Linked DNA regions of Rhinolophus ferrumequinum. The protein of the gene in region 2 interacts with the protein of the main gene of each other region in a pairwise test. Links are inferred from orthologs where the notes say so. Each region holds a gene or a part of one and is shown on either strand. Other genes may lie near its edges.

What was found.
Region 1: the proteins of DMRTB1 (region 2) and QKI interact in a two-hybrid assay, tested with the Homo sapiens proteins (2 studies listed by BioGRID). The link is inferred for Rhinolophus ferrumequinum from reciprocal best matches to the Homo sapiens genes DMRTB1 and QKI.
Region 3: the proteins of DMRTB1 (region 2) and VASP interact in a two-hybrid assay, tested with the Homo sapiens proteins (2 studies listed by BioGRID and IntAct). The two-hybrid records come from large-scale screens. The link is inferred for Rhinolophus ferrumequinum from reciprocal best matches to the Homo sapiens genes DMRTB1 and VASP.
Region 4: the proteins of DMRTB1 (region 2) and EXOSC5 interact in a two-hybrid assay, tested with the Homo sapiens proteins (2 studies listed by BioGRID). The link is inferred for Rhinolophus ferrumequinum from reciprocal best matches to the Homo sapiens genes DMRTB1 and EXOSC5.

Annotation. Positions count from the first base shown.
Region 1 is NC_046286.1:103,614,630-103,622,307, reverse strand, and holds the start of QKI (KH domain-containing RNA-binding protein QKI), read right to left. Parts: upstream 3,012-7,678; 5' UTR 2,511-3,011; coding exon 2,369-2,510; exon of another isoform or gene 2,321-2,368; intron 1-2,320. UniProt on the Homo sapiens protein: RNA reader protein, which recognizes and binds specific RNAs, thereby regulating RNA metabolic processes, such as pre-mRNA splicing, circular RNA (circRNA) formation, mRNA export, mRNA stability and/or translation.
Region 2 is NC_046292.1:38,263,779-38,271,058, reverse strand, and holds the start of DMRTB1 (doublesex- and mab-3-related transcription factor B1), read right to left. Parts: upstream 3,021-7,280; coding exon 2,381-3,020; intron 388-2,380; coding exon 182-387; intron 1-181.
Region 3 is NC_046298.1:41,839,618-41,847,293, reverse strand, and holds the start of VASP (vasodilator-stimulated phosphoprotein), read right to left. Parts: upstream 3,014-7,676; 5' UTR 2,674-3,013; coding exon 2,669-2,673; intron 1-2,668. UniProt on the Homo sapiens protein: Ena/VASP proteins are actin-associated proteins involved in a range of processes dependent on cytoskeleton remodeling and cell polarity such as axon guidance, lamellipodial and filopodial dynamics, platelet activation and cell migration.
Region 4 is NC_046298.1:39,685,703-39,692,734, reverse strand, and holds the start of EXOSC5 (exosome complex component RRP46), read left to right. Parts: upstream 1-4,020; 5' UTR 4,021-4,088; coding exon 4,089-4,224; intron 4,225-7,032. Other genes in the region: BCKDHA (2-oxoisovalerate dehydrogenase subunit alpha, mitochondrial), read right to left, coding at 3,476-3,580. UniProt on the Homo sapiens protein: Non-catalytic component of the RNA exosome complex which has 3'->5' exoribonuclease activity and participates in a multitude of cellular RNA processing and degradation events.

The DNA.
Region 1 (7,678 bases), on a different chromosome or scaffold from region 2:
ATAGACTAACATAACACTAATAGAGTAAACCACATTAAAAAGAAAAAATATACATATTATTTAGAATGTATCACCCTCAACTAGTAGCCTCTAACATTTAAAACTCAAGTGGTTACTATTTCCAACCAGAGAGAAATGAACATTTGTTAGAGATAATGACATAATTGGAATTCTAGATTTGGAAGATTAAAATTATTGAAGCCAGAAAAATTATTGAGGTCAGAAACTTTCTAACAGAGAACCAACTCCGAATTATCATTTAGAGGTTTTAAGATCAACATAAAAGCAAAAGCGAAGAGCCTTTTAGAACTCAATTTACTTTTAAAAATAGTACGCATGAGGTGAAAATATTTCCAAACTTTTAAAAATAATCCCTTATGCCATTTGATTGAATTTAACATTTTAAAATTAAAAGAATGCAATTTAATCTTAAATATCATCATGGCCTATTTTCATTTTAACGACTATAAAGAATTCCTGCTAAACAACTGTACTTAAGGGGAAAAAAAAATCTTAACAGAAATTTTCACTAACACTGAGACAACTGTAACTTCACCAAAATATGCCAACTAAAAAATAGCGTATTATTTTTGAAATGTGATAAAATTGTCCCAATAATTTTAAAGTGTTTTCAATGTTTGTAACTACATATATGATTACAAAATGACAGATGAAATAATCTACTATGATTTAAATTTCAACTAAATTTAATATAGGTCAGATTATTGACATTACAGTTTGCTCCAAACATTTCTCGTTTTAAAAAAAATAACTGGCGCCCCTTAGCGCTCACATTTGGAAATACTCGATTTAAGAGTTCCAGCCTTTTTTTTTTTTTTTTTTTTTTTTTTGACATTCCAGAAAGTTTTCTGCCTCCACAATCTTTCAAATGCCAACACAAATAGGAAAAGCAGAACCCCTTAAAGGGACAGCTCAAGTTTTCTCTGGAGCAATTTGAAATTAAGAGATTTGCTGTTTCAACAGTGGGGGAAAAGACCATTTCAATAGCGGTTGCTGCTGCTTGTTTAACCTATGTAAGCAAAGACGAGGACTCAGTAATATCTGTTTTGTACTTTAAAAATTGTTTCTATGATTTTCAAGACAACGGAAAGCTCCTGGGATTCCTCTTTAACCATCTTTTATCACGGAAACATTTCCGGTCTTTTGTTCTTTAGTGACATGCCAAATCTCTAAGCTTGATTCCTTTTCCCCAGTTCTATACTGTAAAAATCACGAAATTCTTGTGAAAAATCTAAAATCCATTGTTCATCACTATTAAAGTTTTCAGTTTTCTTTAAACAGTCCTTCGGTGATGCTTCTAGACATAAAAAGAAACTCTTTGGTACTCGACTTTCAAAATAGACGTTTTTGTTGGTCATATTTTTTTCTCTAGTCCAAAAAATTCACAGCTACTAGATAGAGATTAATATTCCAGGTCAGGGCTGCAAGAACTTGTAAAGAAATTCTCGAGTTGGCCAAAATTGATCTTGTCATTCTTCACTCCCCGCGGCCCTACACGGATAAAGCTTTCTCTTTTTTTGCAAACTTTCACTAATTTTTATTTTCGCCCTTTCAAGTGCCTTGATTTCCTGTCCTACAAACCAAGGCAGCGGCGTCCTCGGGAGCAGCTCTCCGCCGAAGTTCTTTGAAACTCGGGATTCCGTTCAGCGTTTGTCCTCGCGGTATTTCGTATTCAACACCCCCCCCCCCACCCCAGTGAAGTTAAACTCCCGAACAGTTCTCTCGCTTCCCCAAACAAAAGGACAAAAAGTGCTTTCCGCTGTCATTTTGTCCTCGCCTTCGGCTAAATCAGCATTACTTTCGGTCTCCTATGGAATTCCTTTAAGTTAACGAGCCCCACGCGGCTCCCCCCGAGTATTTACAAGCTACACAAACTCCAAATCAGCAAAAGCCCCACTGGAATCTCCGTGTTAGGAGACCCCCACCCCGAGCGGCCCCGAGGCCGGTGTCCTTCAGGCGCCCGCGGGGCGCGGGGCCGGGCTCCTCCCCGGGAGGCCCGCGGAGCTCCGGGCCGTCGCGGTGCTCCCAGGCGCGGCTGGCAGCCGGGGGCGCGGGAGGCTCGCCGTGCAGCCTCCTCAGCGCAGCCCTCGGGCGGCGCGGGGCCCGGGGGCTGGGGGGCGTCCCGCCGGTGGGTCCCGCCCGCGCCGCCGACCCCCGCCCGCCCGCCGCGCCCCGGGCCTCGGCGCCGCCTCCGTGCGCCCCGCCCGGGCCTCACGGTCCCCGGGCGCACGGTCCCCTCTGGCCACGACCTTCCCGCCCTCCCCACACGCTGGCAGGAGCGCGTCGGGTCCCGGGAAGAGGGGCCGCCGCCCGGGCGCGGGCCGCGAGGGGCCGGGAGGCGACTCACCTTCGTCCAGCAGCCGCTCGAGGTGGTTGAAGATCCCGCAGAAGTTGGGCAGGCTGCTCATGAGCTTCTTGTCGTTCATCAGCTGCATCAGGTAATCTGGGGTGGGCTTCGGCTTCTCCTTCGTTTCCATTTCCCCGACCATATTCCAGGCTCCGCAGCTCACTCCGCCCGCCGCCGCCGGAGAGGAGGGAGGGGCGGGGAGCCCCGGCCGCCGGCCGCTCGGGACTCGGCGTCCCGCTCCGCTTCGCTCCCGCGCCGGGCGCTGGGGCGGCCGGACCGCGCGCTCGCCGCGCTCTCCCCGCCCCCGCAGGCACTTTCCGCCGCGGCCCGACGCGCTCCCGGCCCGCCGCCGCTTCTCGGCCGCCGGCTCGGCGCGTCCCTCACGAGGCCGGCGGGCGGGAGGCGGGTCTCCGCGGGCCGCTCGGGGCCGGACGAGGAAGAGCCGGGCCGCCGCCGCTCGCTCTGCTGGTCGCGCCCGCTCAGCCGCCGCCTGTGCCGCGGGCTCGGGGTCTCTCCGGGCTGGTCCCCGCCGCGGCCGCCTCTACCGTTGCCGCTGCAGCCGCGCTCTGACTCCGCTCCTCCTCTTCCTCCTCCTCTTTGCCGCCTCCTCCTCCTCACTCACTTGGCCGCGGAGTTCGCCTCAGTTCAGTCGGCGCTGCCAGCGGCGGCGGCGGCGGCGGCAGCGGGGGGAGGGGCGGCGGCGCAGGGAGGGCCGGGGGCGGGCGGCGGGCGGCGGGCGGGGCCGCGCAGGGCGGCCGTTAGCGGGGCGGCCGGCACGCTCCTCCTCCCGCCGCCGCACGCATCCCCCGGCCCAGGGGCCGCCGCCGCGCCGCGTCCCCCCCCGCGGGGTGGGCGACGGGAATGAGGCGGCGCACTGCGAGCCCGGCCTGGGCGCCGGGCCGGGGTCGCCGCCGCGGGCGGATGAGAGCGGCGGGAGGGGCCGGTGTAGGGCGGAGGGACCGACGTCCTGAGGAGGGCGCCGGGTGGCGGTGCTTTCGACTGGGGCGGGGGCGAGTGCCGCGCCGCCTCGCGCTCCCTGCCGCCTGGCCGGCTCGTCTGGCGGGCGCTGGCGGGCTGTGGCGTTAGGTGAGAGGGATTCCCAGCAGGACGCGCCAGGGCTGCGCTCGCCGCTGCCCGACCTCATCCTCTCCTCCCGTTACTATAGTTTTCTAAAAAGCTCTCATTCCTCCTCTCCTCCACCTCCCTCAACCCCCCAAATTTCTTTTATTTATTTATTTTTTTTAACGTCCTGTTGCTTCAAGGGGGACTTTCGGGGTGGGCGTCACGTGTCCCGACACGTAGCCGTAAGGTGCAAGGGCGCGTGCGCGTGTCGAGGCCTGCGGCCACGCCCCTTCCGAGGGTCGCCCCGCCCCCGCCCGGCTCCGTGAGCGAGGGGGAGGATGGGAGGGGCCTGCCGCGCGCCTGCGTGGGGAGGGGGCGCGCCCCCAGGGGGTAAGGGGGAGGGGTGTGCGGGCCCGGGTCTGCTGGCCCTGGTGTGGGGACCACAGCGAGGGGTGCGGGGCCCGTCGGACCCCGAACGGCCGGGACGGGGACGGGAAGCCGAGGAGGTCTTTGCTCCCAGGCCCCGGCTATAATGTTTGTGCGGCTCCGGGTCCGCCTCCGCGGGACTTGTTCGCGGTGGGCTCCGACTGCCGCGGTGTGGCTGAGAGGACCGCACGACGACTCCTAGTGTCCCCGCGGTCTTCTCCGGTTTTGAGAGCCGCGCGGCGGACGGAGTCTGAGGAGCGGCCGGTCTAGCGTAGGCGTCCCTCGTTGCCCCGACGGCGTTACTGCTGCCCGTGCAGTGACCTGTCCGAGCGGTGGGCGCGTCTGTGGGGACATGGTGTGCTTTGCTGCCGCATTCCGTTATTCCGAGAGCCAGCTATGGTCAGGAATGAGCTCCGCGGCGTTGGAAATTCTGAGCATCGAGAATGGCGTTTGCAATGTTCTGCTTCGTGATGGCAGCGGTATCCAGTAATAAAATGCAGCCACAGTAAAGAAATGAAACACAGAGCATATAGCCAATTTGAAAAGCGGAAGTCAACATTCTATTTGCAAACTTGCAAAAATTACCATGCAGTGGTCAAGAGGCTTTTCCCTGCAGTATGATGGATTTCAAATATTTAGGTTAGTTTAGGAAAGAATTTTCTGAACTACAACAATGTAGTAGTTCTCTTTGGTTTCTGCAATGTTATCAGTCACTAAATCTGCATTTTGTGACGTTCAATTAATAATTTAGATACAACTATTTGCTATCAAACTGACCATTGTGAGAGTTACCTGTACCTGAAATTTTCTGATAATCGTGTGTACTGTGTTTTAACTGGGAACCTAAGTGGGGGGGGGGGGGGGGGGGGTTGGGGTAAAATTTTGCTTCAAGCAAATTCTTAGGAACTTTTAAGATTGAGTTGCACTGAAGCTACTAAGTAAATTTCAAATAAATTCTCTTTGGCAAGTAACTTCTGGCCTGTTCATTTGAAGAACACAGTGAGTTTTTAAAATTAAGCTACTTTGATAGAGGAAATGCAATTGCCTTGGTGGACAAAGTTAACGTTTAACTCTCAAATAAGTTACCTGACATCCATTGCAGTTAATAGCGCCATAGAATATTCACATACTAATTATTTAAAGGATGAGTTATAAAAATGCAAGAAATAGTGATTTCATCAAAAAGCTGTTGTCTCTTTTAAAACTGAAGTAAGGTGTGCTTCTTCAATACCTAGCAAAATGATAAGTGGTTTGAAAGGGTTTGGGTAGTAAATTATTTATTTGATCTGCTAGTGTAAAAGATTCAGTCCCCCTTCTTAATTGGTTCACCTCCATATTAAACTCCTAGGTCCTGTGCTAAGTGCTTTACATGTGTATTATTTAATCTTCACTTCAACCTTGTGGCGTCGGTCATGCTGTTATCCCCATTTTATATAAGGGGAAACCAAGGAGAAGGAGGTTAAGTAACTGGCGCAGGACTGTAGCTCATGAGTCCTAGGTCTGGGATTCAAATCCACTTATATTTTACTCAAAGCCCATGTTCTTTGCACCCCAATAAGTCACACTGAACCTTTTGACAGTGTTTGACCATTTTTGACCCATAGAAACTGGAATATCATATGACTTCACCACGTACTTACTTATAGGAGGTGAACCAGATCAGAGTTAAAGAACCAAGACAGGCACTCTTTGGTAGTAAATCCCTATGGTTACAGCATTTGGCAATAGTAGTTACTCTGTATTAGCTTTTCAAATTCACATGGGTCACTTCACCTCTCTGCTCACAGTTCTTCAATGGTTTCCCCTCTCCAATAAAAAACCCGAAGTTCTTACCAAGGCCTGCTTACCAAGAGTCCATGTGCTCTGACCCCCTGCTGCTTCGCTGACCTTATGTCCACCCCTCTTCCCCTAGACCCTAAAATTCCCTCCCCTCCCCCATCCTTAAACAGGCAAAGCATTGGACACAGTGGGTGGCTAGTAAACATGCTTGGAGTATTCCTGACTAATTCTAGGGTGAAAATGCTCAAGGTGATTATGCCAAGGTCCCTTCCTGTAGTAGGTTTTTCTATCTGGATCTCTTTAAGAAAAAGGGGAAGTAAAATCCTCTTCCTGAGTTTGTTGGGCTGCGCACTGGGTGTTTCCTCTCCTTGCAGTTTTCCCCACACACCTGCAAGCCTGACTCCCACCCTTTCTCAGTTCTTGATGGGAGAAGGCTTCCCTTACCACAGCGTGCGCGCGCACACACAGACTGCTTACTCCCCTTTTAATTCTTTAAATAGCATTTATTTCCACCTGACACATTCTGTCTATGGGTAGGTTTGTCTGTCACCGACCCCTACACGGTAAGCTCCACAAGAGCAAGGACTCAATTTTGTTCTATTTGGAATTCCCAACACCTAGAACAGCATGTGGTATATGTTTGCACTCTTTAAAAATATGTTCAAAAAAGGTATTAAGTACTGTTATGTTCCAGGAACTATGCAAAACCCTTATCTACATTATTTCTTGTAATCAGTACAGCAGAGGTTTGAGACGGGCGTGAAGAGCCAGGTGCCTCATTGCACACAAGGCCACTATCCACAGTTCCCGTCCTTCTCTCCGTCACACTCCTGCCTCCGGCATTTGAGGTCTATAGTACACCACTCACTACCCAACATATAATAAGTGCAGTGAGAATACAAAAATCACTTGCCTTCAAGATGCTTAAAAATCTAAAAATTAATGTGGACTCTTCAATCACATTATTACAAACATATCGTAATACGACATTGACAAGTTACAACATACTCAGAATATATGTATGGGTAAGCTTCCAGTTGGAAAGATCCTTATAATGGTTTTTTGTCGTTGTGAAAAATTATGTCATTTAATATGTTGACACTAAAATGGTTCCATATCAAACATCAGTAATTAACCATGAGTGGGAATAATATTTTCTGTTCTAAATTTGATTTTCTATTTGCTTATTGCTATTCTTGACATTTAAATAGAGAATTATAGTATTCCACACTTTTTTTTCTTCATCACCATGGAGTTCTTGCAGGAATGCAAATATTCCTTGGATTTAAGAATCAGTCTTTGATGGCTTTTTGTCCCAAATGTTCTTTCTAAAAATCTTAAATCCTTAAATTTTCCTAGGAGGAAATGGGACATTCCCAGTATCTTTGTAAAGTCAATCTTTGTTTATTGTCTTAATAGATTTTTTGAGTCTCCTTTTAAATTGTGAGATGGCTTATCATTTCAAAGGTTGAAAAGGACACATTTTAAGTGTGAATATCTTAATCAATAAATATTTGAATACCTGTCTTCAATGAACCCTGGGGCACTTAGGAGCTAAGCTGAGGGTTAATATCACACACATATGACAAGTTAACTAATAAAAGTAAATGATATTATTATTCAGCTTTAGCTTCAGGTGTATACTGCAGTGCTCAGGCACCTACACCGTCCATGAAAAAAAAAGTAAATGAGAAAGACAAAATGCTGTAGGAATGGAAATGAGCACTGCCACTCCAGGCCTGGAAGCCTAAGCAGAACTGCCCCGGAGGTGGGTTTGATCTCAGGCTGGAAGAAACCATACAAGTGCTCAGGGAGGGCACTGACAAAAACTTGGAAAGTGGGACAGTCTGAGGCTTTAAGGTAGGAGTTTCCTCAACAGTAGTAGATGCCAGATTTTGGTTGGCCCTGAATTTCAAGCTAAAGTATTCATAGAGAAGAGACGTAGGAAGTTTCTTTTTTAATACAAGGAAATTAATCAATAAAATAGTACCATGGATTCCAGTCAGTGAGGCACATTTATATCTGATTGTGCAAACACAGCAT
Region 2 (7,280 bases):
TATCCGTACGTGATTGAACTTGTCTACACATGTGTACTCCCAGAGGCGCACACTGTACAAGGTCAATGGGCCTGGTACACACTGCGCCCATCAACTGGTTTCCTGGGACTGAGGATATGTAAAAGCAGCAAGAGCAAATGGAATAAGGAGAAACCCAGAAAGAAGTCAGGATGGCACTCACCAAGCCTCCTCCATGGTAGTGGCTGCAGGACACATGCCGAAAGCCCCACTGCAGGGGGATCCCCGGGGTCGGGGATGCATCCTGGTAGCCCAGCGGGAACGGGTGGTAAGTGTGCATGCTGGAGCAACCGGGGTACAACTTGGAAGGCTCTCTCTCCAGGTACTCAGACCCCACTGCACAATCCGAGTTGATGCTCAGAGAGAACCCTGAAAAGGTAAGCAATGAGGAAGTGTTAAAAACACAAAGAGCTAGGAAAAAGAGCATCACATTACTGTCCAGCGACAGCAGTATAGTAAACACAGATCCATTTACAAAGAACTCCCAAATCCATTATGCTTTTGACCCTCCCTGCTTTTTAAACCTTTCTACCATATCATACTGCTCTTAGAAAAAGTCCTTGGCACAGCCATGAAGCCCCATGCAGGCTGGTTCCTGCCTCCACTCCAGACTCCTCCAGTACTTAACATAGCAGTTTCTTCTTTCTCACCCACCTCAAGGCCTTTGCAATTGCTGTTCCCTCGGCTTGGAAGGCTTTCTCCCCTAAATCCACTTTGCCTCTTTAAGTCCTCATTACTAGGCTCCTACTCTTCTTCTTTTATACCACAGCTAAACCATTAATTATTAGAGCTCTATACACTGATTTGTGTAATTCTTTGATCAGTAATGTCCCTCCCACAAGGACAAGATCCTTGAGAGCAAGGAATCTGACTTTTCCCCCCCTCACCACTTCATCACTGGCACATACCGTGTTTCCCCCAAAATAAGACCTAACCAGACAATCAGTTCTAATGTGTCTTTTGGAGCAAAAATTAATATAAGACCAGCTCATATTATATTATTATATTATATTAATATTATATTTATTATATTATATTATATACCTGGTCTTATATTTTAGTAAAATAAGACCAGGTCTTATATTAATTTTTGCTCCATAAGATGCATTAGAGCTGACTGTCCGGCTAGGTCTTATTTTCTGGGAAACACCGTATTATAACTAAGTGCTCAGTCTGTTTGCTGAGAGATGGAACAAAGAAAGGCACTATGTCCATGGAAACATCCTCCTAGGATTGCTGTTTCAGGTCTGCCTTCCCCATCTAGTTCCCTAGGGACCTAGATTTTCCAAGAATGTCCCATAAGGCAGAAATGGCCTCCAGAGAGCATCCAGGCCAATCCCCTTAGCATAAGAGAGAAGAGACTGCCACAGAAGGAAGGAGCTTGCTTAAGGTGACAGGGTGAGTAGTCCCCAGCTACTGACTCAGACTTGTGGTCTTTTTACCACATGCCATAGGGGAAAATCAACATACGTCTGCACTCAAAAAGAGCTGTTGTTTAAAAGCCTCAAATCTACACATGACTTGGGAGTTGTATTTTAACGAACATGGTGGCAAAGGAGAAAAAAAGAGTCAACATCTCAATGAACCAACTTTCTCTTCCTGCGTGGAGCAGAGACGCTGTCCCGTTCCCACCCACTCGTAGGAAAAGGGCGGGATAGGGTACCAAAAGGGGTGCGCAGGCGCAATGAGCCAGGGCACGGGTAAGGGCGGGGCCTCCAGAAGGTAGAAAGGTGGGTGCGCAGGCGCAGTCATAGTTGAGAGCGCTCATCCGGAAGTAAGTCCTAGGAGAGGAGCCTCCAGCCCAAGAAAAGAGCGGGAAAGGACGCGCAAGCGGGTTGGGACAATGGAAAGGAGGTCCTCTGGGAGAAGCCTCTAGCCTGTGGAAAGGGAAGAAAGAGTACACAGGATCAGTAATCGTTGTAGGGTGTGTGGGGGACAACGTTCCGGGGGAGGAGCCTCCAGTCAAAGAAAAGGGCGGGAAGAGGTACGCAAGCGCAGTGGAGCCAATATCCCCCATGAAAAGGAGCCACAGCTAAGGCGACTGGGGGCCATTTTCTATTGCAAGATGGAAAGGCAAAAATTGTAGCTAAATGTTAAAAGCTGTCTGGACCACCCACTCCCTTCTATCGCTCTTTTTACCTTTTTGCAAAAAAGGCGCTCAACCCAATTTTGTATTATTCAGTAAAGGTTTCTCAAAGCAAGGTTACCTATGGAAAGCATTTTCCCCACCCCCACCCCTAGGGCCCATCCCAGGCAGCGGGATCCAGGCTGGCCTAGGACGCCAGCGCGGCCTGCACGGAGGCTGCAGCCCGGAAAGGAACTGACCCTGGGGACAAGGCCGCACGGGGCCTAGGAATCTTACCGAAGTCGGCGAACGGCGGACTGGGCACGGGACGCATGGGCCTGCGCAACTCCAGGCGGCCGGGGCCTCCCCTGCCTGCGGCCTCCACCCCGAGCTGGGGCCCCACAAGACTGGGCACAGCCACAGCAGCTCGTTCGCTGGGCCCCATGTGGCCGCGGCCGCCCAGAACTGGCTGGAAGGCGCTTGGGCCGGGGCTCGGGCCCCGCGGTGGTCTCTCCAGCACGTAGGTGGCCGCGCGGCCCTCGGGGCCCGCTGGCTCCGCGTCTCCAGAAGCTGCAAGCTGAGGCAGCGGGTGGAAGCTGGAGGCCGAGGCAACAGCCGTGGCCCCGGAGGCTAACTCATGCTCTTCCTCAGAGGCCTGCTTCTTGAGCATCTTCTGCGCGGCCATGATCTTCTGGCGTTCAGTGATCAGGTAGCACTTCTCGCAGGTGCACTGCTTCCAGCGACACTTGCCAGCATGGCCCTTGACTGGCACCAGGAAACCATGGTTCCGGCACCGCGAGCACTTCGGGGTCCGCAGCATCTTGTCGGCCAGCTTGGCAAGGTCTGCCTTCTTAGCACCTACCGCCTCCTCTGGGAGCTGCAGAGCAAGTGGAGCAGGGAAGAGCAGCGCCCCAGAAGTCTCTGGTGCTGAGGACATTTGGATACAATTGTAACAAAACAGCTCTCAGTACGTCCCGGGAGCTGCAGCAAGACCTTTGCATTTTCCCTCCCTTTTGGAGGGTGCAAAATTTGGAGTTTCTGTGCATTGGTTCATTAGACGCAAGGGTTTGGGTTGAATAAATTCTTCATGGAACGTTATTGCATATATGTCATCTGGATTATCTGAAGTCTTAGGCATTTAGTTTTCCAAAGTTTCTATTCCCGCCACCCCACAGACAAGGTATTTTTTAACTTCAAAAAAGGCAGAACGATATTCAGTGGTCCACAGATTTAAAGCTACAGTGGAACGAACCTCTCAGCAAACCCATTACAGTAGAAAAGCATTCTAAGAGGCAAACCGTGTTTCTCCTTCCAAAAGCTGGGGCTTCTGCTAAATTTTATTTCTCTCCCCTGCAAAGGAAAAAGTGTGCAGGCGCAGCCATCATCATCAAAATGCGGTTCACAGCGATGCTTCCAGAATATTCTCAAGAGCTCAATGCCCTGTTATAGGTGCTCAAGGATGTGTCCTTATGGTAATTCCCATTTCTTAAGAAACTTGTTGGTACAGGAATGCATTTCTAGAAGATGGTGTGTTGCTGTTGTTGATGCCTTCCAAAGTAAAGCATACTTAGAATGCTTTCAAGTAAAGTAGACTTGGGATATTTTAACGTGAGCTTGAATCATTGCTTAACTTTGCCATGAATTTTGTTATCACTGTAAAGCAACCCAAATCTTGGGACAACTGAAAAGCTGGCACAAACTTCATAGTTTCCCAGGGCTACTAAATCACTTAATTTTCTTGTTTGATAGAAATTTGTGACACCCTGAGGTTTGTTTTTGATATTTTGGGGGTTTTTTAGGCTCCAGAAAAGAAAAAATGGGTCACTCACACCTAAGTTGAAAGCTTATAATCATAGCATGAGTCATAGTTGAGGAGGTACTTATGGTTAATACCTGGCTAAAACAAGTGCATTTTAAATTGCCTTTTCTCTGAAATTCTCTTTCTGGCAGCAGAATGGTAGAAGCTATAGCCCTGTGTCCACCTTAATTTTCCTGAGCCTCTGGTTGCAGCTGAACTATGCATTTCTCACCAGCTACCTGAGAATAGGAAATGGCTGCCATTCTGAGGCCTGTTAGATACTGGGAAGCTGAAAAAGAGGTTTGTAAAGTCTTTTTTCTGCTTTAAAGAAATATATTTCCCATTAAGAGGGCAAGAGTATGTCCTTCCTGTATTATTTGGCTCGTCATGAATGTCACCCATTTGGAGAGATCTAAGTTTGTCTCTGCTTTGCTCTAACACCCTCTATCTTAATTTTTTATTTAAAACATGGTCCCATAGATAAAAAGACAGTCAAGCTCTTTTTCTGACTCTACCCAATTCAAAATATCTAATTTTTTCACAGACTTTTTCATTTGAAAATGGTACATAAAAATCACAGTTACAGTACTACTGTCAAAAAATCTGGGGTATAAGCTGCATTGTTTCATGATGATGCAAATTGTAAGGTCAGTTTCTATGGTACCAAATTTAAATTTTAACATCAGATGATAAGGCCTAAAAAAGAAAACTACTCTATTTATATTTCATGCTTGACTACCCAAGCTCTCTTCATTTTTCTATTAATGATATAAAGTAAAATTCTACTCAAAGCCAACTATTTGAATTAACATATTTTAGCCTTGTTAACTACAAAATGCTTCCGTATTTACTTCATAGCTTTGGGGGCAAAATACAACCAAGGTGATGAGAATTTGCATGGTGCTTTGAGAACATTAATAAACAACCACATATCTTTTTAATCAGTAGTCACATTATAAGATGTAGAAACCCCAGGGTTTATACAGTAAATAAATCTAAGGGGGGAAAACACTAGTTTATTTCTCTCTTCCCCCCAAAGTCGCAATTTATGTAGGTAAATTCCAACAGAGCTTTATTTATTTCACTCTTGGAAATTCAGGCAAATTGATAGTTTTGTTTTATTTAGATTGAGGACTGATTTCTTCTTAAGCTGCTGCCTTTATACACACACACACACACACACACACATACATATATATGTATATATATACATATATATTCAAAGAAATGTATTTTAAAAGATGGTAATAACATCAAAGTGAAAAACTAGAGGTCAAAAAAGGATGGGAGCAATAAGCACACAATGAACCCCTTCCCCACACCTAAACCTTAGAAAATTTATGTTTAAGAAAGTCTGCATCATTATAAGCAATGGTTTATAAAATAACAAGTTAGAATTGTTGAGGAATCACCAGTTTGACTAATTAACCACAAAGGAGCTGATTGGTAGTCATATCTGACTCCCAACTTCAGTCAATAATGGCCCCTTTTCCCTTGGATTCCAAGTTTCCTACCTCGAATAATGCCTTCTCTTTGGTTAATATGGTTGCTATTGATACTGTTTAATTCATATTCATTTTAAAGAGCCTGTATTATGCAGTGCATTGGGGTATCATTTATAATCATTAAATATTGCATGCACTGCAATGCTTCCTTACTGGTAGCACACAAGAATAAAGAAGGCTCTTTTTTTTGTTTATAGTATCTTTCCCCCGACAGCTATAACCCAGATAGCTGCTATCTTCCCCTTCTTCAGGCTCACTCTAGTGAGCAATGAAAACTTTATTGAAGATTTTGTAGGGATGGAGGCAGGATTTACATGACACATCCTGTAGCAGATGCTTGAAAATTCTGCCTTAGCATTTCTGTTCTCTCAAGATCCTCTTCTGTTGTGCCACACCCACTCAAGAGAAACTGGCCTCTCCTCCCCCTTTGCCCCCATCAGTACCCAACCTCTCTAGCTTCTGCCTCCTTTTTTGATTTGGCGAGAGCGCTGTAATAGCTGCATCTATCTTATTGTCCTTTATGTCTAGCACACAATAGATATTCAGTAAATATTTATTGAATGTATAAGTGAATCTTACCTCCCTCCCCTGCCAATGTCAAAGTTATCGCCTCCTTAATTAGCAGTAAATCAACTTGGCTTCAGCAACTTTCCCCAAACATCATACAAAACAGAAAGCCCAGGGTGAACAGGTCCACTCTCTTGACAAGCAGAATTTGGGGATCAGCTTTGATTCCCTTCAGCTCACCCCCTACCCCTAATAGTTTAATAATAGTAATAATAGTTGCTAGCACTAAATCTGTATATGTGCCAGTAATTCTTAAGTCTTTTATGTGTGTTCATATAATCCTCACAACAACACTCTAAGGTAGGTACCATTATTTTCACCTCCATTTTATGTGGAGGAACAGGCCTAGAGAAGATAAGTAATTTTCCCAAAGATTTCCAGCCATTAAGTGGCAGAGCCATGATTCAAAACCAGGAAATCTATTCTCAAGATCCACGTTCTTAAGCATATTAACTGCTAACTACATATTTCTTCTAAACAAACACAGTGCTCTCCTCAAGGAAACTTTGATAATGAATAGAAATGTTTGTCATATTACATACCTTACTACAGGTGGGACAAAAGGGGGTGAAAGTGGTAGCAACCTGGGGAAACGTCCTGGGATGCCCTGCTTAGTTGCATTCCTCCACCCAAAGCTGATATTTATTGAGTACCAACTATATGCTAAGCACAAGGGACACAGAAGTAAATAAAACGACAGAATCTTTACCTTTAGGCATACCTTTTGGCAAACCACACAGTTAAAAAATAATTCCAGGTGAAAGCTGGGGATTGAGCGGGGGATACCCAGGATGCTATGGGAACCCCTATGAAGGGCCTAACCTGGATCAAGAAACCAAGGAAGACTTCCTTAAGGGGCTGACTTCTAAGCTGAGGCCTTAAAGATTGGGTAGGAATTAGCCAGCTACAGGAGCAGGAGGGGTGTGTTGCAGACGGAGCAGCATGTGTGAAGGCCTGCAGGGTAGCGATAGTATGTGAGGTCAGAAGACTGGAGAGAGATGAGGTGTAGAAGTGAAGCAGTAGCCAGGTCTTGTAGGGACTCCTTGGGGGAAATTATGGGAGTCGCTATCTAAGACTAAGGAGAGAAAATGACATGGTAAGAACCAGATAGAACCCACCATGGCCAGACGTCTAGTCCCTGCCCTTGGTTTTCTTTCAGAAAGCGGAGCAATAAGTAACTAGGACTCGCATAGGTATTGCAAGACTAAAATGGAGTTGAGTGGGGTTTTCTTTGGGGTGGTTGTTCCAGGTGGGGCATGTACTCAAGGCGAGGCATGGCCCTGAACTAGCACTGTGCTAGGCAGGGTGGTTCTTCCTAACCCTGGAG
Region 3 (7,676 bases), on a different chromosome or scaffold from region 2:
TATCTTAACTATTCGTACAATGAAAGCATGTATTTTACTTGTAAAGCTCATTAAAGGTTTTATTTTTATTTTTCTTTAACAGCATAATAGTCTGGAGACAGTCCTAGATTCGAATTCAGCCTTGCCCACTTCCAAACTCTTTCGGCTTTAATAGGCAATTTGCTTAATTTGTCTGTGCCTTGGTTTTTCCATCTGTAAACTGGCAGGCGGTGGGGCGCCATCATAATAGTCAATCTCTTAGAACTGCTGAATTGCTGTGAGGATTAAACTGAATCAGGCACCTACTACAACGCCTGGCACAAAGTAGATGCCTGATTAAATTGTCTCTTATTATTTTTAAAGTAAAAATAATAATTACTATTACTGGAAGAAGAAAGAAACGGACCCAAATTCTTCAGAATCCCTTCTGCCCTGAGATTCTCAGACCTCTGCCCAGCTTCCCGGCCTTCCCAGAATCCCAGCTCAGAGTCCCGGACACAGCAGACACTCAACAAATATTTGTCAAACTAGGAGAAAAAGAACTATTATCTTGTAATTTTCCATCTTAACGTGTTCTCTTCCAACTGCCCCCAAGGCTGTCCTCAGCTAAACCAGCCAGAAATCAGAGAATCCCAGTCCCCTCCCCTCCCTCAATATTGCCTAGGAATTTCTGAGGGATCTTGTGCCAATTCTTTCTCTTTGAGCCTCAGTTTCCCTAGCTGCATACAGGGGCTTGCGTCAATTTGAATCCTAGCTGTCTTTGGAGAAGGGGCACAAGCCCAGGAAGTCGGCTGTGACCACTGGCAGGGAAGACCCCTCAGAAGGTGGGAGTAACCCTCTTGTGGGACAGGGAACAGTGCAACTTCTGCCCACCCCCCAGGAAGTGGGAGGTTTGGCCACGGCCTTTAGTAGGGGGCCTGTGGGAGGGCCGGGGCCTCCGGGACTGGGCTAAGGGGGGGGCGGGAGGCCGGCCCAGACACTGCTCCTGCCCTTTTACGGTCTCAGTGAGTGAGGCAGCACTAACTCGGACATCCGCCATCCGCCTTCCACCGTCCCTGGGACCGGAAACGCGGGGGGGTGGGGGCGAGGGGCGAGGCTGGGGGCTGTGGGTTGTGGGAGAAGAGAGTCCCCCCCCACCTCCGGGAAGAGGGTGAAGAGAGCCTGGCTCCTGAAAACTGCCCCCTGTCCAGACAGACCTTGAAGGGAATGTTGCTATAATGGGAGAAAGGGTAGGCAGGAAGTCTTGAGGGTGTCTCTAGGTGCCCCCTTGCTCTAAATTTTCCAACCATTCCTTCGCATCAGAAGAAACAAATACGGGAGGGGGATTCTCTAATGGTCATAAAAAGGAATGCCACCCTGATGTCAGAGGGCAGAGGTATGGGGAACGTGGGGGAAGTGGGAGGATGTAGGCACCAGGGGGTTAATCCCCAGCCGTCCCCAGAGGCCGCCTCCACAAGCTGGGGGCTTTGGGGCAGGAAGTCCCTGAGAGAGTAAAGGAAGGGAGATAGTATTGTCAGGCTCTGGCCCCAAGGGAGAGATTATGGGGGGTCAAGGGGAGGAGAGAATGGGGGGATCCAGTCGAGTTTCCCAGCCCGCACTGGCCCCGCCCTCAGGTGCGCCCAGGAGTTTTGAGGCAGGCCTGGGTAAGACAAAATCCTTAGGTACCTTGGGTCCCCCCCCCGCCAGGATTAAATTCCTGGGAAGATAGCTGAAACTATCTGGGAAGCCTGGGTCCTGGGAAGAGAGGACTATGACCTTGAAGCTTTCCAGCGCCCCCTCCTCCAACCCCAGAGCTCCGATGGCTGGAGAGTTGGGGTAGCGAGAAGGGAGAGGCGCCGTGGTGGGGAAAGCAGCCAGCCCACAGCGCTCCTGGCCCGCCCCCCACACACCAGCTGTCTCGACAGGTGAGTCAGTAAGACAAAGGCCCCCCTTTCCACAGCTGCCGCACCCCCTCCCTCCCAGGGCCGCGCAGGTGGGGTAGAGGGGCCGCCCTTCTCTGGCCCAGAGCCGGGGAGCCGCCCTCCGCATAGAGCACTCCCTCGGTCCTAGGCACGGCCTGTTTTAAACAGATTGGGAGTGCGGAGCGGCGGGGGAGGGGTGTCCCAACCAGACCCTGTAGGCTACGTCTGTCTCCGTCCGCAACCACCTCTTCCATTGGATAAGAGCCCCTCCAAATTTAGGGGGTTAAGTACCCTCGAAGTTAAGGAGCGAGGTCCCACATGGTACGACTTTCCAGCGTCACGTAAAGAGGAACCCTGCAAACCAATGTCTACGTCTCAATCTCTCAGGTGCCAGGGACCCTCTGACTGGCCCCCCACAATCCCTCTCTGAGTCCGAGTTTAGATTTGGGGGGAGTCTGAGCCCTGACTAAATCCTGACCTCCTTACAGGGAGTATCTGCCAACTTGGAGGTCTTTTGAAGAAGTCTTTTAAGAAATTTGGGAGTCCTCCGAGCGCCCCAAATCTGAGGGCTCCCTGGAGAGCTTCACCGGTACCACCTCGAGCCTTGGGAGTCATGGGAAAATGGTCAATATTTGGAGCTCATCCAAGCAGGTTCGGCCTCAAAGCCGAGGCTCCGAGTGGCCGGTCCCCAAATTTCAGCCAGGAGCGAGCTGGGGGGAGGGGGGACAAAGGCGGGGCGGGGAGCCCGCCCCGGGTGGAGAAGGGTCTGTAGGAAGTTGGGGGCTCACCTCATGGCTGCTCGGCAGGCAGGCAGCGCACCCACAGGGTGGGTGCTGCCGGGGAGCCCCTGGCTCGAGGTTCAGAGGTCCGGGGTTGGATCCAGGTTCTGCTCAGTCTCCCCCAGGGTCCCGCCCCATAGAGTCCGGCTTCCTGAGGGGAACGTGGACGCGGCCCGGGCGGGTCTTCGGGCGCCTCCTCCCTGTGGGGGTTTGATCGGGGGTCCCTGCGGCGGAAAGGGCGTGCGGCGTCCCCTCCCCGGCGCGCCCCCTCGGCCAGCGGCAGCTACAATGTTACTCTTACTACTGTACTTCTCTTCGCTACATTTCGTTCCAAAATTCCACTCCCCACACCCACAATGCCCTGCGCCTTAAAGGGGCCGCGTACAACTCAAGGTGGAAAGGAGGGGTGGAGGGCGCTTAAAAGGGCAACGCGGAACCCTAGACCCGCTATTTCCCTCTCCCTCATCGTTATTGCAGGGATGCAAGCTGGGGTCACCCCCAAATTAGGGAGCAAGCTTGGTGGACGGGAAGGGATCCTTCCTTGATCCCTAGTTCTCTCCCACGATGGGAGTTCTCAGGGGGATCTCAATGGGGGCAGTTTCTTTTCACCTTCCCTATCGACCTCTCCATTTCTTTACATTCTGCTCAATTAGGGGGTTGGGGGGCGAGGAGGACCCTCTGGTTTAGCATAGGTTCTTTCAAATTTCCTCCCTTATATCCTCTCTTCGGACTCCCCCAATGTCTCTCTTGGCCAATTTATAAAAGGTTACTAAGAGTGAACCGTCTCCCCCTCCACGGGAGGGGGATGGGTGGTGAGGGCCCCACCCCCTTCACTGCCCCCCGCCCAGCCGGGGAAGGTGAGGAGGAAGTGGGCCGAGGGGGCGCGGCCGGCCGCTGACTCAGAGCCGCAGGGGGGTGGGGGTTGGACTCCGGGATAAAACCCTTGGCCCCTTCCCCACGCACGCCCCGCTGTGACTCAGTTTCGCCCGCGGAGGATGGCGGGATCATCCCACAACTGGAGGGCACCGAAGCAGGGAGATCCTCCCTAGTGGTGGCTCCCGCGAGCCCCTTCCCCCACAGGCCAGCTTCAAGCTGAGACCGCACACCCTCCAAGGCTTCCGCAGTGGTTACCGCAGGCTCCGCCCCACGTGACGTCACTTCTGTGATTCCCGCCTCTCCCCTCTCCCATAGAGCGCCACCTGTCCTAGGTAAGGTGCCCCCTAGCCAGGGGCCGGAGCCTGGGAAATCATGTTTGACGTTTCCAAATGTGTAAACTGAGGCCTGGAGACAGGGACTATATCTCGGCTATAAGCCCTCTTGCCTGAACCCCAGAACTCCAGTGGTACTTGGGTGCAAGGTATGAGGGTAAAACCAACAATTCTTAAGGCCCAGTTGACTAGGTGAGGGAGTCAACCTTCCCAGCCTTTGTCCAAGAAGAATCCTCTGCCTGGATGCTGTCCTGACCTCATCTCATACTTCTAGGACATGTTCTAACATTAATTCTTCTCTGCAGAATTGAGTAATCCTTTCCCCTACTCTACCCCACCCTGGGTGACCTTGAACCCTGATCCACCTGGGTTATAATTGTTTCTCTGTGTGTCTTCTCAGGCTGTGAGTTCTTTGGGGGCACAGGTAGACTTCATCGATTTCTGTGTTTCACTAAGCCAGCCAGGCCCAGAACAACAGTGCAATACACATTTATGCAACTGAATGAGAACCCCAGTTTCTGTGTGACCTTGGGCAAATCCTTTCTTCTCTCTGGGTCTCAGCTTTCCCATCTGGGAAATGGGAGATGTGGTGTCTCTGTGTGCCACCTGCACTGCAGTCAGCAAACTTTTTCTACAAAGGTCCAAATAGGAAATATCTTAGGCATATTAGGTATAGGGTCTCTTTTACACATTCTTTTTTTTACAACTCCTACAAAATGTAAAAACCATTCTTAGCTCAAGTGCTATGCAGAACAGCAAGATCCCTGCATTAGAGAAACCCTTGCATATATACACAAGGAGCCTGTCCGAGGATCTCTATGTCAGCAATTATGTGAGGGCAAGAAACTGAAAATAGCCTGTCCATCAAGAAGAGGATGGATAGCAAAACCATTGCACATCTTCTTGTCTGAAGCACGGGGCAGCAGCTAAAAAGAATGAGGTGTGTAAGTGGCATGAAAGAAGTCCCCAACATATTACTGAGTGAAAAAAATTGCCAAATGAGGGCGGCCGGTTAGCTCAGTTGGTTAGAGCGCGGTGCTTTTAACAAGGTTGCCGGTTGGATCCCCACATGGGCCACTGTGAGCTGTGCCCTCCACAACTAGATTGAAACAACTACTTGACTTGGAACTCGTGGGTCCTGGAAAAACGCACTTAAACAAACAAAAGTTTAAAAAAAATTTGCCAATGGCAGCCGGATGGCTCAGTTGGTTGGAGCGCGAGCTCTAAACAACAAGGTTGTTGGTTCAATTCCCCCATGGGATGCTGGGCTGCACCCCCTGCAACTAAAGATTGAAAACTGCGACTGGACTTGGAGCTGAGCTGCGCCCTCCACAACTAGATTGAAGGACAATGACTTGGAGCTGATGGGCCCTGGAGAAACACACTATTCTGCAATATTCCCCAATACATTTTTTTTTTTAAGAATTGCCAAATGATAGAGTATGAAAAAACAATCAAGGAAACAACTTGGGTGTACATGCAGAGTAAAAGTTCTGGAAAAATCCACTCCAAACTCATTGTAGTGGTTACCAATAGGATAGGGAATGGTATTGTGGGGAATTCGATGGTCATACAGCTCTTAAGCCTCATCTTGAAAATGCCAAGCTCAATTCTGCTTCTAGGCTATTGCACTGGCTGTTCCTTCTGTCTTGAGACACTCTTCTCAGGGCTATTTGCATGGCTGGCTGCTTCTCGGGGAAGCAATTGAGTCAGGTCCCCGCTCAATTGTCCCCTCCTCAGAGATCTTCCCTGATGCCCCTGTCTAAAGCATCCATCCCCCGGTGGAAAATTGAGTGGCTGAGGGACAGGGGATGGAGAAAGACCTCATTGTACACCATTTTGTACCCTTTGAATTTTGAACCAACTGAACTTATTACCACTCAAAAGATAAATGAATAACAATTTAAAAAACCAAAATAGATTTACTTATCGCATCCCATTTTATTCTCTTTGAGACACTTGTCAGTGTCTGAGATGACCTTATTCATCGGTTCTCTTGTTTGCTCTTTCCCCACACACATACTAGGTGGGCCCCTACAATAGGCACGAATCTCAGTGAGTCTCCCTGGTCGATGGCCACGAACAGTGCCCAATACATATTTGCAAATGACTGGGTAAATAATGTTTGCGGGGTTTTTTTCCTACAAGAAAAATGTATTTTGAGTCACGTAATTAACATTTAATAAAAATTCTCTCCTACCTCTCCCAAAACAGATGAAAAATGGAAAGAGAAGGTTATTGAATTGGTTGAACTCTCTTGGGTCCATGGTTTGGGGTTTCCTCCTCCTCTCCCCTCCCCCGGATGGTGGGAGGAACTTCTCCTCCTAAGACTTTCTGTGACAGGGAAGTAGGAGAAGGGGAAATAAGCATTCCGGGGTCCCTCCATCGGCTCATCTTCCTCTGGTCTATAGCTGGGGAAGGGGAGTTTTCTTAGTTCCGTTGGGGCCCCAGCTGGGCAAAGGGTCCCCAAAAGACAACAGCTGTCAGGCCTCCAAGTCCAAGGCAGAGCTTGAATGATGCCAGTGGCCTTCCCAGTCCCGTTCTGCCCCTTCTGTAACAGAAAATGTAAGAGACAGTGCATTTCTTTTCCTCTCAGTATCTACTCCCCTATATTCTGGAAGCATCACTCCTATTTTTCTTTGAGGGACCACGATTCCCCATCTCTAAAACCATCAAGTTTGGATGCAGTGAATCCCAACCATAAGCACTAAGAATGGACATATGACCCTAGCCTGGCCAATCAGAGACAACAGTGATTTGAGCAGACATGTGACCCAGTGCTACCAAGGAGAACCAGCTCTGAAACTACTGCTGCAACTACTGGGGAACTGGTACATTCTCTCCATTGAGGATGTTAGGCTTGGAGGATGTGAGGCTGGAGCTGCAACTCGCTGCTACCTCATGAAGAGACCCTGCCTGGGAACGAAGCCAACTCAGAGGAAATAAAACTACATCTGACAACTGGATGTAGTCATGCCTTAAGTCCCTGAACTCTTCAATTAACATGGCCCAGTAAATTGTTTTGTTTTTCTAGGTTGAACTGGGTTTCCTTCCCTCACAAATACCTCCTTCTGCTGCTGAGAACTATCAACAATAGCCCTCCTTCAAGTGCGAATAACCACTCTCTTCTCTGCTATGCAAAGGCCTTTGGGTTCTGGCCCCAGCTTTCTCCCTCCCATTTCCCCCGAGTCCCACCTTACACACCTTCCTTATACCTCACCCACCACATCTTTGGACATCTCCAAATGCCCCAAACTATCTGGGTCCAATTCACAATCTCTCTCCAAGATCCAGACCATCCTCAGAGATTACCTAGTGTCTGCAGTGTATCCAGGCCTGGGGACTGGTTAGCAACATTCCTTGAATTTTTCTGCCTTATTCCTGGATGGAGGGGGTGGTGCTTGGAATGATGGGGCTTTACAGAGCATTGCTGGGGGCACATTTCTTGAAGGGGAAGCACAGTCTGCTTCTCCTTCCCCACCAACAGTGCTTCAGGCCAGGAGTGAGAATTTATTTTAATATACTAGCCAAGTCCCTTGTTCCCTCTGGCCTTAATTTCCCCATCACTAAAGAAGGTAAGGTGTGCTGTATTACATGTTTCTAAGAGAAAATTCAAGAACACAGGGTCCTTACCTCCCAGTGCTCCCCTGAGGCCTGGCAGAGCTGAGAATAACCTTCAGCGATGACAGAGGCCCTGGAGAGCAGAGGAAGACCCTCAGGAGGGGACCCTCCTCCTGCCACCCCTCTCCCCATTCTACCCCATCCTACCCTGACTCACTTGCAGTACAGCCCTCCCCCAGAAGGTAAAT
Region 4 (7,032 bases), on a different chromosome or scaffold from region 2:
GATGGACCCATACAATTAGATCAGTAAGGACCATCTCCATTCATCCCACAATACACACAGGGCACCAACCACTTGGAGACACTGCAGAGGGTACTAGAGCCCAGACAGGCTGTCTGATCAGTTGGGTCAGAGAAATAACATCCCTGCTAATTCACACAGGGAGCTCTAGGTGCTCCCTGAAATTCCAACAGGGCAGGAACTCTAGTTACCCATTTGCTAAGCAAAGAGAAGTGAAATGACTTGGCTGAGGTCCCACTTGCTTCTTGGGGTGGTGGCTGAGAAACTGACTCAGGACTCCGTGACAATCAAGTCTCCCTCCTGTTCTCCCTGCGCACTAACCTATCTTCTAGCGACTGGAGGGGGAGGGAGGAAGGCAGAATCAGGCAAATGCCTCCACGGTGAAAGGAGGGGCAGACAGGCAGGGAGAAATAAGGCAGCCCCAGCCGTCCTCCCAACCCAGCCACCAGAACAACCCAATCTGTGCACTACAGTCTGTTCCCCCCCACAAGGCGCTATCTCCTGGCTCCACTTTGAACGGCTAAAATTGCACCATCCAACACAAAAGCCAGAAGCCACTTATGTCTATTTAAATTCATTAAAATTAAGTAAGATGCTCCTTGACTGACAATGGTTGAAGTCCAAAAAAACCCAGCATAAACTGAAAATACCATAAATCAAAAATATATTTAAGGGGATGGCCCGGTGGCTCAGACGGTTGGAGCTCCGTGCTCCTAACTCCGAAGGCTGCCGGTTGGATTCCCACATGGGCCAGTGGGCTCTCAACCACAGGGTTGCCGGTTCAACTCCTCGAGTCCCACAGGGATGGTGGGCTCTGCCCCCTGCAACTAAGATTGAACACGGCACCTTGAGCTGAGCTGCCTCCCAGATGGCTCAGTTGGGTGGAGCACGGGCTCTCAACCACAAGGTTGCCGGTTCGACTCCCACAAGGGATGGTGGGCAGCGCCCCCTGCAACTAGGAACGGCAACTGGACCTGGAGCTGAGCTGCGCCCTCCACAACTAAGACTGAAAGGACAACTTGAAGCTGAACGGCACCCTCCACAACTAAGATTGACGGGACAACAACTTGACTTGGAAAAAGTCCTGGAAGTACACACTGTTCCCCAATAAGGTCCTGTTCCCCTTCCCCAATAAAATCTTAAAAAAAAACACACACACACATTTAAAACACCTGACCTACTGAACATCAGAGCTTAGCCTCACCTACCTTGAGCGAGCTCAGAATGCTTACATTAGCCTACAACGGGGCGATTATCTTGAGTTTGTCTCAAGAGTCACTGCCTTCCTTTTTCCTCTCATCAGAAGCAGGAGACACAGATGTGCGTTTTGTAGACATGACAGGGTGTGAAAACACAATATGCAAAAAGCGCTGGCAACACAGAACACTGTAGAGTATTAGCTGTTCGCCCTCGTGAGCGTATGGCTGACTGGGGGCCCACTGCCTCTGTCCAGCGTCACGAGGAAGTACCGTACTGCATATCATATCGCCAGCCGAGGAAAAGATCGAAATTCAAAATTGAAACAAGTTTTCTACTGAATGTGTATTGCTTTCCCACCATCATAAAGTTGAAAAATGTTAAGTCGAACCATCATAAGTTGGCAACTGTCTGTAAAGTGAAAACTTCGGTCCCTCAGTGGCACTAGCTACATTTCAGGCTCAGTAGCCACGTGTGGTTAGTGGCTACTGTACTGAACAGTGCAGATATAAAACACTTCCATCACTGCAAAAAGTTCTATTGACAGCCTGGCCTAAAATCTTTGATTAAATGCTACTCCTCCTTCCTTCCACTCAAAAAAAAAAAAAAAGTGTTATTTTATATCTTAGACCAAGTGGAAGAAATAAAAGAGGGGAAGAAAAAACAGGGACTCCAAAAATATACATACTTAAAAATATATGTAAATAAAAAGTAGGGATTCTGAAAGACCTCCTCCTCCTGTCGCGCACCCCTCCCACCAAAAAAAAAAAAAAAGAAATGAACGAGGGAAGGGCAGCAGGGTGACTGAGTCAAGAAGGAAGAATATTTTTTTTTAATTTATTGGGGTGAGAAACAATATTTAATCAACCACAAATGACCCTTCCCTACACTTTCACCAGTCCTGCCCATCTCGCACTGACTCAGCCAACAGGCTCCTGTGACTGAGAACAGCTTTTTTTTACTGCTTTAAAAAAAAAACAAAGCAACACAGACAAACCCAAAGGCAGGAGACTGCCCTACCCACATCCTGCCCCAGCAGCCCTTCCAAAATCCAGACGCCCTTCCAAGGATCCCTCCCCTCATTCCCGACCCATCCTCTTCATCCTCCTCCCATGTTTCTCCTCTTATCTAGAGCTCCTTCCCACAGCTTCCAGCTTTCCTATGTTCTGGATTGGAGGGTCAGAGGGTCAGACCCAACACCACAAGATCCTGACAAATTCTCTCCAAGGCCCTCACCAACCCAGGCTCTACCCAGGTCACCCTTCTTCTCCCTCCCTTTCCTCCTCCCTCACTTTCAAAAGTGGCCAACGTTCCTATTGTCCTTATCATATGCCAGGGCCAATTCTTAGCATTCTATATATTTAATTTTCACAACAATACTATGTAGTGCCACTGTTAGCATTTTCCCGAGGGGGAAAGAAATTAGGTCCAGAGAGCAGCAATCCCTTGCCCAAGGCTACACAGCTGTAAACTTGTAGATTTGGGATATAAAACCACGGTGGTCTTGCTTCATAACCTACCTTCTAAACAACTATTCTCTTATTGTGAAACTTCAGTTCATAGTTCTAAGGTAGCCCACAGGGACTTCCAGTTCGATGTGTTTCTAAAAAATGTGGACAAAGTGCCCTGTGGACCCCTCTCCCTCGTTTTCTCCTCTCATTACTTCAACAAATATTTACTGATCATCTCCTTTATAGAGTGATCAAAACAGACAAGATCCCTGTCCTGGTACTTGGTGAGGCGGCCCAGGACCAAACAACTTTTTTATGCCATCCATTTAAAAATCAGAATTGCAGCAAAGGAGCAAAGAAATACAGAGCACTATGAAAGCCGGTAGCAGGGGACGTGATCTCTCTTTTCTCCTCTTTGAAGGTGGGGGTTCTTGACCGAACACAAAGTCTTCCCCTCACTAAGGCAGTTTCACTCTCCACCCCCCGTGGGCAAAGGTCTCCTCTCCTTCTCTGGTCTCTCCAGGGGGCCACCCCTCCCGTGGGGGGTGGGTGGCAACTAATGAGGAACCCCCCCCTCTTTTTCCAAGTTGTATCCCTCCTTCAGGATCCCCAAAGAAGCTGCCTCGCTTTTCCTCTTTTAAGGAAGTGGAAGGTCTCCCTTTGAGTGTCCTCTCCAAGTGGTTCTCCCTACCCTTGTCCCTTCTGTGACAGCCCTTCCTTCTCTCCCTGCAGGGACCCCACACTCTAAAGACAGCGTTGACACCCCTAGTCCCCCTTGGGGAAAACTCCCCGGTGCCCCAGGTACTCACAGTTCTAGCCAGCCGCCGAACCCCAAGCCGCCGCAGGAGCAGGCCAACATAGCGCGAGCCTCTACTTGGTCCCCAAATCCGCGCCGCGCCAGCCGCCATCGCCATCTTGACCAACAACAACTGCTCTGCGCTCCTCCCCTCTCCTCCGCGAGACTGGGAGCTGCCCCTTCCTGAGCCTTACTCAAATGCCAGCACCACCCTGCCAAGAAACCACCTGCTACTAGTCCTGCGGTCTCTACGACATCTATATATGGGTGTATGAAACAACCTAGCTACCCAAAAATTACTCTGATCGCCTCATCACAGTTGTTTCTGTAACAGGCAAAGAAAAGGGCAACGTGACCAGAGCCTCAGGATTTTAAGGCCCGGGGGCCTCGGGTAGGACGAGCCCATGCCAAGGCCCGCCCCGCCTTCTCTACTGTCCAATGCTCCTTCTAGAATTGTGAGGCAGGAGGGGGCGGGGCCAGGTTGTTAGTAAACGGGGAGCCACGTGCGGGCCCCCGAGCTGGGCTGTCCGGGATCGGCGCGTGCGCACTGGGTACGCCGCCTGTACGCAAGCGCGCACTCTGTGCGGAAGCGACAGCGCGCGTGGTTTGGTCTTGTGGAGGGGGCGATGCAGACTGACGCCAAGATCCGCACTGCGGGTGGAACAGAGCCGGGCCCTCAGGGCCCCGGCTGCAGCCTCCGGCACTTTGCCTGCGAACAGAACCTGTTGTCCCGGCCGGATGGTTCTGCCTCTTTCTTGCAAGGTGAGAACTTAAGCCAGGTAAATACTGCCGGAGCCACGGCCATCCAGGTCGTATTTGTTTTAGGGGGCGCCAAAGGTGTAACGTGCAAAGAATGCCCACCTCTTTTGATACTAGTAGGTAAATGTCGCTCCTGAACTGGTACAGAACGTCTTCTTCAGGTGGATACTACTAAATACGTTAGGATGCAAATATCTCTCCCGACTAGTAGGGAGAAGATATCTCCACCCTGGTAAATGATTATAAGGAGAGAGGTGCAGACCTCCCCATAAGCGTGAATACTCCAGAACAGGGAAAATCAAACCAAGATAAATGTCCCCCTTGATTTGATTTCCTCCTCCTCCACACACACACACACCCCTACCCCTGAGTCCTTACGTCCCAGGCAGAGGCAAACCTGCCAATTTGCATAAATGCCCCATTACCGGCTTAATTTACTCCCTGCAATGGCAGATCTTTCACCCAAGTAAATACTTTTCATGTCATAGGTGATGTCTGCACCCTGGTAGGAGATTTTCCCCACCCCCACCCCACCAATTGGGTAAATATCCCTTTGACAGGGATACACATCTCTCCATGTGAGTAAATATCCCTAACATTGGAGCAGGTCTTGCCTATTGGGTAAGTATTCCCTTCCTCTAGCTAAATACCTCTCAAACTCCCTGACCCGGGTAAATAATTCCTCTAAAGATAGGCCTAAGGATTACCCCTATAGATGCTTCAGTTCTCTCCCTAGGGCACTAGCTTCTACTCAATTACAAACCTGCTTTCATTCATTTCTTCATTCATTGGACACATGTATTTGTGCCAAGTACCGTTCCAGGCACTGAGAATATATCAATAAAAATATTTTAAATCCCTGACCTAATGGAATTTACACCCTAATAAAAAAGACAGACAGTAAATAAGATAACTAAGTAAAATGTTATGGAGAAAAATATAGTAGGAAAGGGGAATAGAGTACGCCCGAGAGGGTTGCAGTCTTAAATAGGATGGTCAGAAAAGGCTGCAGTAAGATGGTAACATTTGAATAAAGACCTAGAGGTAAGGGAGCAAACCCTGAAAATAAACAGGAGTGAAGAGCGAAAGCATCCCAAGCGTGAGGAATAGCAGGTGCAAAGGCCTTGAGGCAAGAACTTGCTTGATGTGTTTGAGGAAGTGAGACCAGTGTGCTGGAGCAGTGAGTGAGAGGAGGTTTGGAGAGAGGTACTGAAGCTTGCCCATCGTACAAGTTTATGGCTTAGTGAATGAGGTGGGAGCCATTGGAAGTTTTGCTCAGAGGAGTGACATGATCTGAATATATTTTAACAGAATCTCTCTGGATTCAGTGTTGCCTGGAGATGGTATGGGGAAAGGGGGAGGTCATGGTGGCCCAGACCAGAGTGGAAGCAATGGAGGTGGTGAAATTCTGGATGTATTTTGTTGGTAAAACCGACAAAATTTGCAGATGGTTTGGTTTGGGGGTATGAGAAGAGAGGAATCATGCTAAGGTTTTTGCCCAGATCGGCTGTGCTAGGGCAAGATGAGTTCAGTGTGGAACATGAAGTTTGCGGTGCCTAGTGGATACTACAGTGGCAATCTGGACCGGGCCATTGGACATACAAGTCTGGAATTCAGAGGAGGGACCCAATCTGGACATACCATATGAAATCCTCTGGCTATCGATGGTATTTTGAGCTCTTGATTGAATGAAATCACCTAGAAAAGTGGAGTGTAGATGGGAAAGAGAAGAGGTCCCAGGACCAAGCCCTGAGTCTTCTCACTTGTGAGGAACTACTGTGTTTCCCCGAAAATAAGACCTAGCTGGACAATCAGCTCTAATGTATCTCTTGGAGCAAAATTAACATAAGATTCAGTCTTATTTTACTATACAGGTCTCAATATATAATATATAATAATATATAATATAAGCAAAATCAATAGAAGACCCAGTATTGTATTATATTACATTATATTGTATTATATCATATTATATTAGACCTGGTCTTATAGTAAAATAAGACTGGGTCTTATATTAATTTTTGCTCCAAAAGACGCATTAGAGCTGATTGTCCTGCTAGGTCTTGTTTTGGGGGAAACACTGTAGCAGAAGACATTGAGAAGGAGCAGCCAGTAAGACAGGAGAAAAACTGAAAGAGGGCGGTGACCTAGAGCCCAGAGAAGGCGTTTGAGATGTGAAGGTCTGACTAGCTACATCAGTCCTACTGAGGGGTTGCATCACATGAGGATGGAACAGACCTGGGGGTTGATTGGTGATGCTGTCAAGAGATATTCCAGTGGAGTGGCGGGGTCAAGGAAAAGAGGAAAAGGAGATAGCAAATGGAGACAGCTCCTCAGGAGCTTGGCTGTAAGAGGATCAGATTCATGGGGCCGGAGTTGAAGATGGATGTGGGTCTGGAGAGGAGAGAATTGCTCTAGAGAATTGCTGGTGCCATGTAGCGGAGAAGGTGAGAGGAAGGACTCCTGTGCTTAAGGGGACGGCAGACCGCTCATCGGGAGTAAGAGGAATAAAGACCCCAGCGTGGATCTAGTTCTTCTTGGGTAACTTCGCCCTTCAGGGTAGATTCTCCGGGAGCACAGAGAACCCCTCAGTTGTGTGGCAGCTCTTCCTCCCTCAGGAAAAACAGCCCCAACAGAGGACCTTCCCAGTCCCACCCCCAGGCTTAGCTGTCTTGCTAAAATCAGACGCCTGGAGTTTGTTAGCGCCTTCCTGTTCTAAAACCCCAAAGCCCCAGGACCTTGGAGCAAGGGGAGTCCTTGAAGACCCTTAAAGGTGTGTTCCAGGTGCTTTTGGCCTCAGAATCTCTGGTG